2 linked regions of the Saccharomyces cerevisiae S288C genome follow. Each later gene encodes a partner of the first gene's protein in a complex. Each region holds a gene or a part of one and is shown in the gene's direction. Other genes may lie near its edges.

What was found.
Region 2: the proteins of IST3 (region 1) and PML1 are in contact, whole or in part, in an NMR structure (PDB 2MY3), measured with the Saccharomyces cerevisiae proteins. Residues at the interface, in NP_012270.1 of Saccharomyces cerevisiae: Asn39 (codon at 2,303), Glu41 (codon at 2,309), Leu42 (codon at 2,312), Thr43 (codon at 2,315), Glu44 (codon at 2,318), Gly45 (codon at 2,321), Asp46 (codon at 2,324), Leu48 (codon at 2,330), Val50 (codon at 2,336), Val60 (codon at 2,366), Arg64 (codon at 2,378), Asp65 (codon at 2,381), Glu66 (codon at 2,384), Asn67 (codon at 2,387), Lys96 (codon at 2,474), Ile97 (codon at 2,477), Gly98 (codon at 2,480), Gly99 (codon at 2,483), Lys117 (codon at 2,537), Tyr118 (codon at 2,540), Ala121 (codon at 2,549), Val122 (codon at 2,552), Glu125 (codon at 2,561); in NP_013116.1 of Saccharomyces cerevisiae: Ser23 (codon at 2,145), Tyr25 (codon at 2,151), Ile26 (codon at 2,154), Asp27 (codon at 2,157), Ile28 (codon at 2,160), Met29 (codon at 2,163), Pro30 (codon at 2,166), Asp31 (codon at 2,169), Phe32 (codon at 2,172), Ser33 (codon at 2,175), Pro34 (codon at 2,178), Ser35 (codon at 2,181), Gly36 (codon at 2,184), Leu37 (codon at 2,187), Leu38 (codon at 2,190), Glu41 (codon at 2,199).

What each region holds. Positions count from the first base shown.
Region 1 is NC_001141.2:362,701-365,835, forward strand, and holds IST3 (U2 snRNP complex subunit IST3), read left to right. Parts: upstream 1-2,188; coding exon 2,189-2,635; downstream 2,636-3,135. Other genes in the region: AIM21 (Aim21p), read left to right, coding at 1-224; DJP1 (Djp1p), read left to right, coding at 521-1,819; actin cytoskeleton-regulatory complex protein PAN1, read right to left, coding at 2,766-3,135. UniProt on the Saccharomyces cerevisiae protein: Required for pre-mRNA splicing and spliceosome assembly. As part of the pre-mRNA retention and splicing (RES) complex, required for nuclear pre-mRNA retention and efficient splicing. Required for MER1-activated splicing.
Region 2 is NC_001144.5:175,962-179,494, reverse strand, and holds PML1 (Pml1p), read left to right. Parts: upstream 1-2,078; coding exon 2,079-2,693; downstream 2,694-3,533. Other genes in the region: POM34 (Pom34p), read left to right, coding at 1-788; MEU1 (S-methyl-5-thioadenosine phosphorylase), read right to left, coding at 874-1,887; BRE2 (Bre2p), read right to left, coding at 2,751-3,533. UniProt on the Saccharomyces cerevisiae protein: Required for efficient splicing and pre-mRNA nuclear retention.

The sequences.
Region 1 (3,135 bases):
AGTTGCCACAGACGAACGCCGTAGGTAATAGAAAAGCCATAAGTGAGGAATCTCTGTCCCCATCGGAGGCCATCGCCAACAGAGATCAAAACGATACGACAGAAATACAGGAACAGCAGATGGAGGACCAAATGGAGGTTGATATGGAAAGAGAACTCTCAGGTGGCTACGAAGACGTTGATTCTGCCTTACATTCAGAAGAAGCGTCTTTTCACTCCCTTTAGAATCTTATAAATAATATGTATGAATAAACTCTATAGTATGTATCAAGAGAGAAATATGTGAATGACGAGCAAACTAGAGGTGTTATTAATAATAATGGCATAAAAACTAGATTTTATTCTATATATATATATATATATTTCTTCGACTTTTTTTTTTTTTACCCGCACACCCTGAATTTTGTGCTATTTTGAAGCAGAGCGTACTGAACAAATTGGCAGATTTACAAGAGGAATAACAGAGTTATGCTAAATCATTAAGTGTTTCTTGCGGCCAGAAGGGGCATTATACAAAAGATATGGTTGTTGATACTGAGTATTACGATTTGTTAGGTGTGTCTACCACTGCATCTTCCATTGAAATAAAAAAGGCCTATAGAAAGAAATCTATTCAAGAGCATCCTGATAAGAATCCCAATGACCCCACGGCTACCGAAAGGTTTCAAGCAATATCCGAAGCTTATCAAGTTTTAGGTGACGATGATCTTCGCGCAAAGTATGATAAGTATGGAAGAAAAGAAGCTATTCCTCAGGGCGGCTTTGAAGATGCAGCTGAACAGTTCTCTGTCATCTTTGGTGGAGATGCGTTTGCCTCATATATTGGCGAACTGATGCTATTAAAGAACCTACAGAAAACTGAGGAGCTAAATGCTGAAGACGAAGCTGAAAAGGAGAAGGAGAATGTGGAAACAATGGAAGAATCACCTGCAGACGGTAAGACGAATGGCACCACTAACGCTGTTGATGCAGCATTGGGCAATACTAACGAAAAAGATGACAAAAATAAGGCGAGGACAACTTCTGGTAATTTAACTGTACACGATGGAAACAAGAAAAATGAGCAGGTAGGAGCAGAAGCTAAGAAGAAGAAGACAAAATTAGAGCAGTTTGAGGAAGAACAAGAGGTAGAAAAGCAAAAAAGAGTAGACCAATTAAGCAAAACATTGATTGAAAGATTATCGATATTAACAGAAAGTGTCTATGATGATGCATGTAAAGATTCCTTTAAAAAAAAGTTCGAAGAGGAAGCCAATCTTTTAAAGATGGAATCATTTGGTCTGGACATATTACACACAATAGGCGACGTTTACTACGAAAAAGCTGAAATTTTTCTTGCATCCCAGAACCTGTTCGGAATGGGTGGTATATTTCATTCTATGAAGGCTAAAGGGGGAGTATTTATGGATACACTAAGAACTGTTTCGGCAGCCATAGACGCTCAGAATACTATGAAGGAGCTTGAAAAAATGAAAGAAGCTAGCACGAATAATGAGCCTTTGTTTGACAAAGACGGAAATGAGCAAATTAAGCCAACCACTGAGGAACTGGCGCAGCAAGAGCAGCTATTGATGGGCAAAGTATTGTCGGCTGCTTGGCATGGTTCTAAATATGAAATAACATCCACTTTACGTGGCGTTTGTAAAAAAGTACTAGAAGATGACTCGGTAAGTAAGAAAACGCTTATCAGAAGAGCTGAAGCAATGAAACTATTGGGTGAAGTCTTTAAGAAAACTTTCAGAACCAAAGTCGAACAAGAAGAGGCACAGATCTTTGAAGAACTTGTAGCAGAAGCTACAAAAAAGAAGAGACATACATGAAGTTAGCAATCATCTCTTGTATATTAAAAATTCAAAAATTCACTTTTTTTTATTATCTGTATTCAATATAATATAATGTATATAAGATCACACTAATACTGATAATTCTATTCTTGAAAGAAAGACAATAGAACAATAAAGAAGTGATTGAACTCAGTGACAATGATAATTTATGTGATAAGGAAGTGGTTATGGCTGGAGAATTATGCCACACTTAAATGATAAGCTCTTTTACCTTTCTGGGTTTAGGAATTTTTTGAGATTAATACAGATAAAAAAAAATAGGCCGAACATTAATTACTCATACAACTCAAAAAGTGCAGCGTGCAATTCTAGATCAAGAACATAGATAATATAAACAAAATAACAATGAACAAAATTCAGCAAATCAACGATAAAGAACTACAAAGTGGAATTCTTAGCCCGCATCAATCATGGCATAATGAATATAAGGATAATGCTTATATATATATCGGAAATCTCAACCGAGAATTAACAGAAGGTGACATATTGACAGTCTTTTCTGAATATGGAGTCCCTGTAGATGTAATTCTTAGCAGGGATGAAAACACAGGAGAATCGCAAGGTTTTGCATATTTGAAATATGAGGATCAACGGTCAACGATTCTAGCAGTCGATAATTTAAATGGATTTAAAATTGGCGGTAGAGCCCTCAAAATTGATCATACTTTTTATAGGCCAAAAAGGAGTTTACAAAAATACTATGAAGCTGTAAAGGAAGAATTGGATCGAGATATAGTTTCGAAGAACAATGCTGAGAAACTCATTTTGGCTAAAAAGGACCAACCAAATTAAATAATTTTTTCTTTCATCGCATATCTTATATTCATATAGCCTAGAAAAAAATAATCAATATCATATTTGTAATTCTACATCCTTTCAGAAATTAGTATACATACGTATCTATAGAAAGCAAATTAAATCTTCATGGAAGGGGTGGGGGTGGAGGAATACCTGCAGGTGGAATTGATGGGATACCTGCAGTAGAAACTGGTTGTGCCCCTTCTTCCTCTTCATCTGTACCAACTGATTCAGGAATCGATAAAACGTCATCATCAGAATCGGATCCATATGCGCCCGTGCCTTTTTCAGCACCATTGTAGTTATCAACGTGAGCGATAATAGGTTCTGAAGTGGAAGCTTGTTGAGTTGGTAAAGGTGGGGGTGGAGGCAAAACGCCTCCAGCTAAAGCTGGGGTGGAAGAACCCGATTTTTGCACGGCAGTAGCTATTGCAGGTGCTGAGGGAATTGGAGGTTCTTGAAAGCCATCAACAGCAGGCAAAGGGGGAGCCAAC
Region 2 (3,533 bases), on another chromosome or scaffold:
AATTGGGCAACTTTGAAAGTCCTGTGCTCAAGGAGCTATCACGGCGAACGGTAAACAAGGAAATGGAGACGCAGAGAATTATGACAAACGTAATTGCGTTTGCGTTCTGGAACCTGCTGGTGAAGTTCATCAAGTTCTTTTGGAACAACACTCATGTTGGGAGACAGTTTTGCAACCGGCTATCCAGAATCCATCTGTACATGTTGACATTTCACACGTTAAAGAAGGCTAACATCATATATCACACCACGTTCAGTTGGTTGAATGCAGAACTTCTTGACTACTTGTTCCACCTATTAATCTCGCTCAATATACTGTTTTCTCTTTGGAAGCTCTTATCCACCGTCAAAGTAAGTGATTTGAATCTCACTGACAGGCAAAAGAAGCTCCTGGGGGTAGACATGCAATCATCTGTCGATACTGGGTTGCAGCCACAACACCCCCACTACGTATCCACTTCTAAGATCAGCCAAATGGCACAGAACAAAACACATATTCCTCAAACAAATCTCAAAAATCATCCAGCATATCTCTTCAAAGGCTTAGAGACGCCTTTGAAAGCAAGACAAAGGGAAATGGCGGAGGAACAGACGAAACTACAATCTCAATCCTTACACACAAAGAATGTATTTGGCACACTGCAGAGGCATAGCGGTATCAGTAGCACATTAGTGAGCGCTAACAATGACAATAACTCGCCGCATACCCCTGTAACTAGGAAGGGCTACATTCCAAGTAGCAAATATGCATATATGATGAACTCACAGTCCCCAAGGGGGAAAATATAAAAACAGCAAAAAAACATTTAATACTTTCCATAGCTATATATGTTTTCTCTCCTATTTATATTTTACATATGATTAGCGGCAACCATTACCAATAGTTTGGAAATAAGTATCTTAGTCTTTCTAAGGTTTCCTTGGACATAGCCTCTGGTTTGGTAGAGATAGATTTCTTGATGGAACCGCGCAGCCCATCGCCAGTATGCATGAACTCTGGGATTTCCTTGGCCATTGAGACGATGATCTTAGAAGCTAAAATATTTGCATTGCGCCCATTATTCGTCAAATTACCAATAACGGTTTCTACGGTAACAGGTTCTGCCTCATCTCTCCATGCGTCGTAATCGGTAGACATACAAATCATCTGGTAAGGCAGCTCACACTCACGCGCCAATTTGGCTTCTGGAATAACACTCATGTTAATAACATGGCCACCAAACATTCTGTACATCTTGGATTCAGCGCGCGTGGAGAATTGTGGGCCTTCCATACACACAACGGTCATATCCTTGTCGTAATGCAAATGGCACGGTTCTTCGGATTCAGGATTTGTTATCTCGTTCTTGAATTGATAGATATACTCTGCGAATTTTTGAGAGAACGGCTGTCCGAAACCAACGTGACCTACCAAGCCTTCATCGTTGAAATATGAAGAATGTCTTATGCCTTTAGTTCTGTCGATTATTTGCTGTGGTAACACAAAATCTCTAGGCTTTATATGGGGTTGTAAAGACCCCACGGCACTAAAAGAAAGAACGGCTTTACAATTTAAGTTCTTTAAGGCCGCCATGTTTGCTCTAAATGGGACTTTAGTGGGTGGGTATTCGTGGTTAATACCGTGTCTGGCTATGAACGCAACGTGAAAGTGGCTGTTAGTTCCTACGAACTGAGAGATTGTGACAGGAGACGATGTGGTACCCCATGGTGTTACCATGGGTGGAAGCAAAGCGATGGGCTCCAGACAGTCAAGGTTATATAAACCTGTACCACCAATAATCCCTAAATCAACAGTTCCTTCGAATATGCTCGGTAATTCTGAGTTCGTCATAACTTTGCTTAGTTTTAATCTCTTAGCAACAGAAAATGTATTCTTAATCCTGTTCATTTAATCTCATCTCATCTCGAAATAGTTTTTTTTCATTCACACGTTCATCTTTTTTCATTTTTCTTTTTCTTTTTTTTGCTTTCTTTTCACATAATTGACAATAAAGGCGTCCTACAATAGAAGCCTTGGTATAACGTAAAAGCCACAGCAAGCATGGTGTACTTCATTTCCGACTCCATTTGCGTATAGACATGTTTCACAGACGCAAAAGACCTTATAACACCAGAAATTATGGCCATGATGACAAGAAATTCAAATCGCAGTACATCGATATTATGCCAGACTTCAGCCCTTCCGGTCTGTTAGAGCTGGAGTCGAATAACAAAGAAGGTATAGCTTTAAAACATGTGGAGCCGCAGGACGCTATTTCTCCAGATAACTACATGGATATGCTAGGACTGGAGGCGCGAGATAGGACTATGTATGAACTAGTGATATACAGAAAGAATGACAAGGATAAAGGACCGTGGAAAAGATACGATTTGAACGGCAGGAGCTGTTATTTAGTCGGTCGTGAACTGGGCCACAGTCTGGATACAGATCTCGACGATAGAACGGAGATCGTTGTCGCAGACATTGGTATACCCGAAGAAACATCCTCAAAGCAGCACTGCGTCATCCAGTTCAGGAACGTTCGTGGCATTTTGAAATGTTATGTAATGGATTTGGATTCGTCCAATGGGACATGTTTGAACAACGTTGTAATTCCTGGAGCGAGATATATAGAGCTACGAAGTGGTGACGTCCTTACACTTTCAGAATTTGAAGAAGATAACGATTACGAACTCATCTTCATGAATGTATAACCATATATAAGAAACACACTTTCAGTGTGTTTTAATTATTCTTCTTTGAATGCTGCTTTATTGCTGTAGGGCAATTTGCTCCAACTCATCGATTATATCCCATACTATGTCTTCAGCTATCTGTTCTTTGTACAATGTATCCAGTGTGTTAACTTTTGAATTCCCGTCAACACAGTAAGCTGATCGGATTTGATCGAGGTACTCCAATTTATCTTCTTCACTAATTATCCTCGCTGTTCCACCGTTAAAACAGCTGATTGTTGGATAGTAACCCAGTTTGTTATTATTTACGTATTTGTTTCTGAGTATCAATCCCTTCTTTTTCTTTTGTTGCTGCTTTTTCTTTTTGGCACTGGTTGTGTTTTTATCATTGGACTCATCACGAGCTTCACCATGTTGCCAATATCCAAGATAGAACTTTTCATTGTATTGTAACTCACTGAACGGTGGTAACAACGGCTTTAAATTTTCAAATGCTTTGCCTAGGTACTTACCATTTTGAAAGATAGCAAGATATGAATCCTCTAACTGGTAATAGTCTTGCCTTTCCCTCTTATCAGAAGAATAATATTCCGGTTTCGTTGTCTTTACATAGTCCGTTGCCTCAAAGAACAACTGGTTCTTATACCTGATGGCGATTTGATCGCGGACGACGTCGTTATATTCAATATCTTCTAATAGCGCCCTTTGAAATTCTTTGTTCGTTGTCTCTTGTTTTAATTTTTTCCTTGAAGGCCCATTCTCAGCATCTTCTCTCCATGGTTCATTCATCGTATCCATATGGGAGTTCAGTGCAAAAATTCTTCTTTTGGTAAACTCCTTAGCTTGTTTGATTTGTGT